Drosophila melanogaster: one gene and its partners. The protein of the gene in region 2 interacts with the protein of the main gene of each other region in a pairwise test. Each region holds a gene or a part of one and is shown on either strand. Other genes may lie near its edges. The genes, in order: CG10154, Larp4B and CG14275.

Region 1 (3,755 bases), about 10 Mb from region 2:
GGGTGGTGGGTGGTTGTGAGGTTGTGTGTTGGACGATGGGTGATTCGCCTGCGATTCGAACGGCGCAAGGACTCGCAGCCAACTGAATGTGTGAATGCAGCTGGGCCAGCGTCGCGCTCGTTTTCACTTTCATGAGTTTCGCAGAGCGCTCTTTCACTTCCCACCGCCCCCACGGATGGTTTTCCTCTTTTTCCTTTTTGCCAACAGACAGCGTTTTGTTTTTGCTTTCTGTATATGTGGCCGTGCCACTCGGTGGGCGAGCGGGTGGTTGGCGTTTGCAACCAGAAGAGCATGAATGGGGTGCTCTGTGGAGCACTCTTTCTCTCTTTTTTGGAAAATAAACACTGTGGCTGCACAGCACATGCGCCGTTTACAAAACACCATTGTGAACGGGCCATCCAATTCAAATTGTAACGTTTTGTAGCAAACATTTTATTGGTAAATTAATTGAATTTATTTTTTTCCATTTCTTACTAGTGGAACTTTCTTGGGATGATAAGAGAGTCTTACACCAAATGATTGGTCCCTTTAATAAATCTTTAAAATAACGACACTAAAAATGTTATGTGCTCTTTTAAAAAACATTTCAGAATAAACAATTTGTATCACTTCTTACATTCACAAAATCTCTTATCATTTCATAAAATCGAAAATCAAAAGCAACAGGTTGTAATTATTTATTTATGAAAACTCAGTTAGACACCAACGAATTCAGGTCTGCGGCAATCCTCCACTTTGGGATCGTAGTAAAGACCCGGAGTGCAGTCTAGTGTGACTCCACGTCCTTCGACGCAGTAATAATATGCATCTCGGCGAGATTTGTGTGGGAAGAAGTGAGTTCCCATAAGGGGACACTTAATGTCAGCACGACGCAGAGGGGTTCGGGAATATGGCAGAATATTCCTGGCTACAGCATCAATCTAGAGATATTTAGGTATAAATAAATAAATTATTAAATTACTCCAGAAGCAGTATAAAATGTACTTTAAACCAATCCAAAACAATCAATTTAAAAATATATATTTGAAATGAAAAAAATCCACTTTCACTTTTTCTACTCACCGTGCAGTTAACATTCTTGGCAAAGTCGCAGCACTTGCAGCTGGGATTGTAGGCCAAGCCAGGAGCACACTGCTGTTCCCACGGATGACCATTGGAACAGACGTAATACTTGCTGCATGATGCCTTACTACCCAGGTAGATGATGTCCTCTGGCTGGAAGGTGGCGGAACAGTCGTTGGCCACACAGTCCACATACTCGGGGAAGTCACAGCGATCCGTGGCGTTGTTGTACTGGAGTCCATCGTGGCATTGGCGTAGCACGGGTTTGCCGTAATAGCAAAGCACGTACTTGGTACAGGTGTTGTCGTAGCAGAAGCTGCTCAATCGGAACGACTCACAGGTGGGCAGACACTGTACCTCCTCCATGTAGGTGCACACTTGGAGAACAGGATCGTAGCCCAGCTCACACGACTTGTTCGGATCGCAAATATCTGGATTATCCTTTGCCAAATCCAAGCAGCTGCCTACTTCCTTAATAGTATTGTCTTAAATACATGGATAGTTTAATGTATTAAAAATATTTTTCATTTGCTTTAAAAACTTATGTGATGTTTTAGTGTATATAACTCACTTTCACACTCGATATATTTGGAGCAATTTCCAACATAGGGCAAATAAACGCCATCCGCCACATTGCCGCAGACATTTATCTGGGTGTTTTCGTACATATCGTAAATATCCTTATCCTGAACATTTAGGCCCTCACCATCGTCGTCTGGACCGGGAGCTACTACAAGATCTTCATCGGCCCGGTTCCGATGAACCATCAAAATGATGAATAGTAGTAGGAGCCCATTTAATAGCCACTTCACTTGGGAAATTACGATTTATTAGGTAAATGAACTATAGGGAATCCCATCGCATGAGCAACTTACTCCTGGATAGTTTGAACTGTGTGCCACAACTGTTTGCTATCAGGCCAGGAAATATTCATTTTATATCGACTCTCTTTCATCGCCTAATGAGTTTTTGCCAATTTACACTTATCAACCAGGTTATTTCGGCACACGACTCCTCTAGAGGAAAACTACGCCATTATTTCTGCAAACATTTCGACTTTCAATTTGTCACCACCAAACTTGGCGATAATAGTCATAGTCGAAATGTTTTAAATAGACTGGTTCCCAGAACCCGTGGATATCGATGAAAAGTGTTTTAATTTCCTTGCACGTGTGGTTTTTTTTTTTATCACTTTAGTGCACGAGTGGTTTAAACATTCAAAGTATTACTGCGCTAGCGATTAAGATATGAAAAGAAAAATAAATAAAATAAAAAATAATTTTATAGAATAATACATTCTATTTGGATTAACTAGGAGCATTTCCTTCCTGTACAACAAATATACATACATATATCTTGAAGAAAATCTTAAACCTAAACTACAACTTAATAATTTCTAGATCTTCAAAGTAATGGGGCTTCCTATCCAAATATTCCAAACACTTGTAACAATTACATCGGATCTTGAGCGATCCGTGGTTCGATGATCAACTGTGACTCATCAATACACGTGTTTCCTAATGGCTGACAGAGGTGTATGTTCCTGAATATTGGCTCTTGTTCACCGAACTTATCTCCGCCAGACGAATTTGAATGAGGAAGAACAATCCAATTACCACATGGAAACATGCATCCACATCCGATAAGATTGGAAATTTGCACGGAATCAAAACAAATCGCAGATTGAATGGCAAGTGAGTTTGCCTATAAATGGAGGGGTTTTTCGAGGTAAGACGATAGTAACCGCAGGAAACCAACCTTGAATAGTGAGTATGAATTGCAGCTATGGAACCGAAATGATCTAACTTGGTTTATTTTCCAAAGTGATAAGTCGCCTGACCCTTTTGGCACTGGTTGCCCTGCTTGGAAGCTGTAGCGCTGCTGATGGCGATGTCAATGTCTGCTCCAATGTGGTCAACAATCTCTTTGTTCCCCAGGTGGGCAACTGTAGCAAGTACTTCCTGTGCATGAGTAAGTCACCAGCACCTGTGGATATCTAGTTCACCGCATTATCATGTTTCTATCCCAGATGAGATAGCTGTACCCCGTGAATGCCCCACGGACTACTACTTCGATGCGAGGGATCAGGAGTGTGTTCCCCTGATGGAGGTCGAGTGTATTGGATCCTGTAAGAACCGTGGTTTGTCATCGTTCTGTTACGATCGCACGTGCACCAAGTACGTTCTCTGCTTCGACGGCACTCCGGTGATCCGTCAGTGCTCCGATGGACTGCAGTACAACGCCCTGACCGATCGCTGTGACTATCCGCAGTATGTCGACTGCGTGGACAATCTGTGCAGCCGGAATAATAATCCGGATGACATCGTTTTCATACCCAGCAAGGCTCGCTGTGACAAGTACTACATTTGCATGGATGGTCTTCCTCAAGTCCAGAACTGCACAAGTGGCCTGCAGTACAATCCAAGCACTCAGAGCTGCGATTTCCCCTCGAAAGTCAACTGCACGGTGCGTGTTTTTTTTTATCTGAAGTTTTCTGGGAGCCACATAAAAACCTATTCATTTCATTCAGGTGGAGAGCCTTCAACGGAATATCCTGCCCTTTGCCCGAGCTCCGCCACGTCTCGCCGACATTGAGTGTCCATCGGAGGGCGCCCACTTTATTGCCCACCAGAAGCGTCAGGATGCGTACTACTACTGCCTGAATGGACGTGGAGTCACCTTGGACTGCACAC
Region 2 (3,755 bases):
GACATTGGGCGATTCACGCAGCACCTCAGTGATGAGATTGATGTCATTGGTTAGCTTTCGCACCAAATTAAATCTGGCCACAGTGTAAATGGGCACATACTGGTCGCTGTCCATCTGGGAGAGCAGGTAGGTGTCGTTTGCCAGGTTCTCCCTGTTTGGAGCGGAATAAGAAGCAATGTCAAAAGGGGTTTGCTGTTGGATTTTGTGTGCCAAATCTCACCTGGAGAAGTAGTACTCAAGTTGGGTGGCCAGCATTTGTTTGAGCTTGTCCAGCGGTATGTTGGGCTCCTCTCCACCAGCTGCATTGTGGCTGCCTTGCTGCGGATCAGCGGATCCATTTGCTGGTAGCTGAACGGGCACTGGGACTTGGACAGGAACCTGGACCGGCACTACAATTTGATGGGGCTGCGGATCGAGTGCAACTAAATTCGTGTTGTTCAGGGCGTCTGTGGTGTAGCAGACCACAGTGCCATCCTGGGTCTGGCCGAGTGCGCCATTCATGATGGCGTACTCGTTGGTGTCCTGGCCCTCCACGACTACTCCGGATGGTCCTACTGCTCCTCCGGAAATTGTTCCTGATCCTCCAGCCGTGGCCTGCGAAAGCGCCGGCTGATGGCCGTAGGTCAGATGCTGGGCGGGATGCGGCGACTGTTGTTGCTGCTGCTGGTGGAGATGCTGTTGGATCGTCTGCTGCTGCTGCTGCTGTTGTTGTTGGTGGGCTACGTGCGTATGGGCCAAAATCTGGGCCTGGTGTGGATGCGCCTGCTGCTGTTGTTGGGCGGGCACAACTGCTGCTTGTGCTGCTGATGCGGTGGCCACTGGAGCAACGGCAACTGGAGGAGCTACTGCTGGAGCGCCTGCGGCGGCGGCGGCTGCAGCTGCGGCTGTGATCAACGGTATGTGGGCAGCGGCGGCTGCTGCGGGTGAGGCTGCAATTTGGGTTGTGGCGCCAAACAGATTAGTTGCTAGCATCGCCGTCTCGACAGGAACGTTGGTGTAGACGGGCGGCTGGATCTTGAGTGCATCTCCGTTCATGTATACATATCCTCCTGCAAGTGGTTTGCACATAAGACGGTTTTTACATTATGGGTGGGCGGGTGATGGGTGGTGTGGTTGGGTTTGTTGTGTGTGTGATATGGTGAGTGTGTGTATAAACAAGGTCAATATTTTGTAATTGTAGACGTAACGGGAAACTGTCGTAATCGAAGGAAGCCAGATGCTGGGAAAACTCTGCCGATTTCGAGCTAATAACAACAAAAAACAAACAAGCGTAAAGCAGTGCCAGCATAAGCGTACACATACGTATGCAAATTTTCGAGCATGTGGGTGATGCATAGGGGGTGGCGCACACGCATGCACGGGTGCTAGTTAACGCATTTTACCAACCTAGGAAGTATTCCATGGTAACGTATGTTGCAATTATCAAGAAATTCCACACAAAGACACAGTCGGTTATTTCGCTTCTCCTTATTTGCTTTTCCTCTTATTTTTTTCTTTTAAATCTATTTTTTCGCTCTTTCGAGCTACACACACACACTTACGCACGCGGCACACTCACACACAGCAGGCACACACAGCAACACACGCACACACGTTGCCACCCAGTCGCGAGAGTGGAAGCGAGAGAGCGATGGAGAGGATGAGAGAGAAAGAGAGCGAGCAGGCGAACGAACGAGAGGAGGAGCTCTTCTTTCTATTTGGAAAATTTGATTTTCACTGCGATATTTCGTACTTCGCCAACTTGCTTTTCCGCGATTCCAATCGCGCTGAATAGCGAGCACTCTCTTTGGCGACGATGGTTATTTATTTATACTGCTTCTGCTGCTTGCGACTTGAAAACACGGCTCCTGCTCCTCCGCCCCTTTTGTACAACATTTTCTTCAACTCTACGTTGCCTTTGCTCGGCCTTCTTCTGCGCTCTTCTTCTTTCCGCTCGCCGTTTCTTTTCTATTTTTTCTTCTTTTCTTGTCGTTTGCAGTCTAATTTTTTTTTCTCGCCTTTTCTTTGCTTTTTGCACACGCAGAGAATGTGAATTGAAAATTGGAAACGACCGAGAGGCAATTGATTTTTTTCTTTTGGCGACTTTTCACACCTCACTTGAACCGCCCGCACCAGCCAGCGTTACGCTTGTCAGTAGCCAATCGTTAGCCAAGTTGACAAATGAATTGTTAAGGTTGTGCCTGGTTTTTTTCACCACCAACTTGTCACGCGAAAAATCCAAAAATTCGACTTCTCATCGTCATAGAAAACTTTCGCCGTTTCGATAGATCGCAAGTCAGGGTTGCAAGCGATTGCAAATACTAAAAAAAAAAAGTAACTCGATTGTCACTAGTTTTTCCTGACAGGTTTTTAAAAGTGCGTAGCATGAGACACGCAAGTCAAGGCATGCGTTCACGCTTTTCGTTAACGATTATTGCTTAAATGGTTATTGCGTTTCAATGTAAATGTAGAGAGTAGCCTGCGGAAGACCGCACAAATACAAGCACGCTACCCAAAAATATCGAACAAAAAATACCAACTGCCTGCGAAGCGACAACCCTGAAACGTGCAAGAACATAATATTGCTAAGCGAAATCCAGCCCACCCGCCCCCTCTCCGACATGTTATCTGCACCATTATTCGCCTATATTCACTTACCACTGGGATGAATGGAAATCCCGGGCTCATCCGCCTGCAGACGGCGATTTCGTGCAGCTGTGACAGCGCTGAGGCGAAAACCACTTGTTAAATTTGGCCGAACGAACAAAATGAAACACCAAGCGTTCCGCGCGTCCACGTATTCTTCACTGAACGTTCTGCTGGCGAATTATCGTTGGGAAATTCGTCAGTTGCAACGCGTCGATTTCGGGGGACGAATTTGCCTACGTTTGACACTCAGATAACTCTTTTTTCCAGCAAAATGCAACACACGCAAAAACTTCGCGCTCCGATTTTTTGTGCCTAAATTAGTGTGACTGCAGAACAGTCTGACAAATGTACCCAAGAACGCCTAAGGTGGTATTCCCCTCGAGGTGTGAAACGTTGCTGAAGCTAAGACAACAACCAAATCAGACGTTCCTGAATTTGAATATTTTTTTTAATATTTTCGTTGACAATAAATAAATGGCCCACCTTTCGTTTTACTATATTTTAATTCAGAATCTTATCCGAATAGCTATGAAATACCAATGGGCGTTTTCTGCGTTACAAGCCAGAAAAACCAATTCGAAATACAAGCATTTATAATTTTTTCGACCCATTATACTACGACAGCGCCCGCACACATTCATTTATTTAAATTGAACATTTAATTTTATTTATAACATTGTTCTCAGTAAATGGTCTATTGCTTCTGTATGTTTATGTTCTATCAAGAGAGTTTGAATAATTCGGAACAAAGAACTTTTCCAAGTTTTTGGGTGTTGTTGCAGAGCTTAAGAATGAAAGAGTGGTATGAAGATTCACACGGTTTGTTCGTTCGACCGCTTAGAAGCCGTGCACCTTCAGCTGATCCGGCTTAGCTAGACCCACCTTCGTCAACCATTGACAGATGTTCTCACGCTGATCGCCCTGGAGCTGCAGAACCTCACCATACTCTGGGTGCTCGATTACAGTGCCATTGCATGCGAATTCCTGTGAATGAATGTAATTAATATGTTAGTGCTTTTCAACCAAATCCACAACCGACGAAGCAATCAATGTTTTAAACAATGTCTTGAATATGTGCAAATGAACTGCTGACCAAATAGATTTCAATAATATTCGCAGTTTCTTCA
Region 3 (3,755 bases), on a different chromosome or scaffold from region 2:
ATGGGTGGTGGGTGGTGGTCGGTGGTCGGTGGTTAGTGGTTGCTGGGAGAAAGACCCAATCCCAGCCTAAAACTCGGATTCAGTTTTTAGCTTGCAGCAAGGGAGCTTTGGCAGCGAAGCTTTCGAGTGTGCGTCCTCTTTGCGATTTCCACGCTCTGCATGTGTGTGTGTGTGTGTGTGTGTGGGTCAGGAGATGCGAATGTGTGGCCACAAAAGTATCTCAAATGACACTGGTCTGCAGGGATGGGGTTTCAAACGATTTTTATTATATTTCGTACTTAATGTAAAATAAAAACATTCATTTCGATTATTATTAGAATTAAAACATATGTCCTTCATATATCATTAAACATCTTAAGGTGAATAAAAACGTTCTCAACTTGATTTATATTAAATCGTTTTTTTATTAAACAATTTTCGTCGCTGTACTAATTTAATTAAAAATTATTAATCACATATTAACAGGTTGTAGTAGAAATTAAAACATGAACTCAAATAATCATCACATTGCCTATCAATTGTTTGGCCGTTAAAGGTCGATTCAGAAATGAGATCTCTAAGCTAAGATTATTAAAATGTTTGTATAAACAAATACATTAAAAAGCTAATCGTGCTCCCTGAATTAGGTGTTTTGAAATATATACATGTTTACATATTGTATTAAAATAATCTGCTCTTAATCACTTCCACTTCTGTTTCTTCTTATTTTGGCATCTCACTTTTTATTTATGTATTTTTAAGTAGTCGCAATTAGAAGCTGCAATTAGCCGAAGGCAGTGCACTGGACTATTCGCCTCATTCACTCATAACCCTGAGCGCCATTTCAACTAGGCGTCCAGACACTCAATCCATAGCCGGAGATCAGGAGGACGTGAGCACGTGAATAGCCGGAGAAGTCGCACAGTAGAAGCAGAAATCAAATCCACCGGGATTAATTAAGCTTAATCGCAGGCTTCCTCTTGAAGCTCCAGCCACGTTGCTTATCACAAAGTCGCACAAATTGCTGCCCCAAGACGCTGGTCAATTGAATTAAGTCTTTCTTTCACTCACTATATGCACTATATATGTACATACATATATGTATGTATGATATGTACATATATTTTTGCAGATCGGTTTGCCTGGCTTTTGTGCCCCAATCAGTGCGCGAAATTGAGGAATCCGTGGGGGCAGATTGCCCTTTGGGGAGATTTGTGTTACCCTGTCTCCCAGTCGCGCTTGTACTTACACTTAAAAAAAAAAAGGTTCATAATATGCAGTCGATCTTTTATAAGTATTTTGGAAGCCTCATATTTTGTAAGCATTTATCTTCACTTTACTTTTATTTTGACACACTTAAATCGTTTTTATATATTTTTTTATTCATTATTACAATGTTAGGTGTATTTATTTTATTTTTTTATTAATATAACTTCAATTTATTTAAATAAAAAATTGAGAAAATAAATATTTCTCAGTGTGATGTCCCTAAATTGATTGCATTAAACAATGTTTGCGACTATAAATAGCGATAGTAAGAAAAGAGTTTTCGCTTTGGATTGGGGTTAAAGTACGAATAATCAAAATGTTGACTAACATGTTAAGCAACAAATTGTTTAAATTTAAATAACATTGAGTCCGACTAAAACGCGAAGCTTTGAAATCTTAAGCTTTTAAGCTACCGCTTCTAATGTGTTGAAGAACCGACTAAAAGCTTTTCTAACAAAATATGGGTTATTTGCCGTGAGAATTTCCCCTTGTTTCAATTAGAGCATTAGCCCCAAAAAATAAGTTTCCTTTATTTACTTTTTTTTTTTTGTTCCGTGGCTTCGCATTAATTTCGTATTTTATGCGCAATTAATCATGAAGTCTGGCGATTGAAATCGCGAACAGGAGAGATACGTTTCCAGAAATCACTTGTTAGAAAAAAAAAAATCCGGCAAACCGGTTTCAGCAAACAAGAATCGGGCTCATTTGCCTCAGTTTGTTTTTGGTTTCAAACGAATCCCCAGTCTGACCTCCCAATAATGCTCGCAGATCAGCTGATTTCCGATTTCTGACTTCGATACGAACCCACCAATGTCATTTGGCTGAAGACAAAGATCTCATATTCACAGACCTCAGTTACACGTTGAATTTGCAGTAGATTGGTTCTACTGTCGGTGGGAATTTAAACACTTAAAGTCAAACAAACAAAAACTAACAATAGAAGTGCAACAAAACAGTAAAAAATTTCAAAAGAAAAAAGGTATTTCCTAATTTAATTAAATAAATAGATAGCAAGAAGTGAGATTTTTGAGATCAGTTTGTGTAGTTTGCTTTTTGAGATTCTTCATTTCCAAGCAAACACAATAAAAGAAAAGATAAATTCACTTTCATAATTTATGAACAGAAGATTTTACCATTACATAGGAAAATTAGTTTCCAAAAATTTCCCCACACAATCACAATAAGTTAAGGAAATTTTCCACTTTTCATTGAGAGCTGTTTTCGACCAAGAACCACTTCAAACTGGCTAAAACCGGCAACTGAGCGCGGCAATATGCATATTCACTTTAGCTTGGCGCTTCACACAATGCAGCGTGGAAATTAAAAATTAGTTGCATTGTTTGCAGAATCGAACACCTAATGAATGCACTGCACAGATATGTACCTTACGTCAGGCAAAATTTAAAACATTTAATGATGAGTCAAGAAATTCGTACCGCCTTGAACTAGAAGAGAGACAGATAAGACGAATCCACTGATTTTCCCAATTAAGTTGAGTCCGAAAGTCTGACTTCGTCACCGATGCGGACTAGACCGAACCACCACAGCTGAGTTTTTGGAGGTGCGAACCAGTTTTAACTAATCAGCGCCGTTGATAAGGAACTGCCGTTCTATGGAGCTCGTACAGTCCATGTTATGGCGGTCAGAACGTGCTCCTATCGCAAAAACCCAGCTCACCGGAACCAAATCGATCACTCGATGGGAAAAGATTGCAGAGCCAATGACATCTTGGCCCGAATTTGAGATTCCAACTTCCTATCAAATGAATTAGCTATTACTTTTTTTATGGAAAATCTAGGTAATTTGTACGTCAGTTTTTATAAACTTAACATTCACATTATTTGTATAGTAATGAAAAGTTATAAAGTTATATGGCTATTAGCCATTATTGCATTTTATTGGCTTATACTACCAATATTATGCTGCATATGGGAATCTTACTTAAACAATGGTTATCTTTTGTTAATAGGCATAGTAAGTGGCTATTCAAAAGCTATATATAGTATAGTATTGTATAGTACATACATTGTTTATTTACTTTTTTTTGGGAGCTGTTTGCGAGTGACGTCACAATTCGGACTTAACTGGTTCAAGCCGGTGGATTCCATTTGGACTGTGTTTTGCATTCGGGTTAAGAACCAAGCTGAAACCAACCGAAGCTGGAGCTTATCAATGCGGCGTGGAAACTACCTTGTGTAGCATCCCCCTATATAGTCGCACATATATGTATGTATTTAACATACATAGGTATATATGTTGATATAAAACGACCCCGTAAAGACGATCGAGTGACGGAAGTTTTCACATATTTTCCATTTGCTGCCTTTAGGGCCGATCTCGCTCTCTTCGCTCTCCCGAAGCCAATCTGCTCGGCTCGGCTCTCAGTTCGCAATGAGCTGGCTTTTTGAAAAATCAACGTTTTTCGAAAAGTCAAATACAAGTTTTCAGATTCATCTCGACGGTGCTCGCGTCCAGTTGTCCGTTCGCATTAATCAACAATATATTAA

Evidence for each region.
Region 1: the proteins of Larp4B (region 2) and CG10154 interact in a two-hybrid assay, tested with the Drosophila melanogaster proteins (one large-scale study listed by BioGRID).
Region 3: the proteins of Larp4B (region 2) and CG14275 interact in a two-hybrid assay, tested with the Drosophila melanogaster proteins (one large-scale study listed by BioGRID).

Annotation. Positions count from the first base shown.
Region 1 is NT_037436.4:13,435,159-13,438,913, forward strand, and holds CG10154 (uncharacterized protein), read right to left. Parts: upstream 1,979-3,755; 5' UTR 1,939-1,978; coding exon 1,938-1,938; intron 1,874-1,937; coding exon 1,634-1,873; intron 1,548-1,633; coding exon 1,063-1,547; intron 921-1,062; coding exon 696-920; 3' UTR 522-695; downstream 1-521. Other genes in the region: CG10725 (uncharacterized protein), read left to right, coding at 2,828-2,828, 2,887-3,033, 3,092-3,528, 3,593-3,755.
Region 2 is NT_037436.4:3,224,171-3,227,925, reverse strand, and holds the start of Larp4B (La-related protein 4B), read right to left. Parts: upstream 1,874-3,755; 5' UTR 1,403-1,873; coding exon 1,387-1,402; intron 1,050-1,386; coding exon 221-1,049; intron 152-220; coding exon 1-151. Other genes in the region: eIF1 (eukaryotic translation initiation factor 1), read right to left, coding at 3,466-3,612. UniProt on the Drosophila melanogaster protein: Probable RNA binding protein. Negatively regulates myc at the protein level, via an unknown mechanism, and may therefore have a role in growth. Has no effect on myc mRNA levels.
Region 3 is NT_033779.5:8,325,357-8,329,111, forward strand, and holds the start of CG14275 (uncharacterized protein), read left to right. Parts: upstream 1-2,099; 5' UTR 2,100-2,227; intron 2,228-3,691; exon of another isoform or gene 3,692-3,755.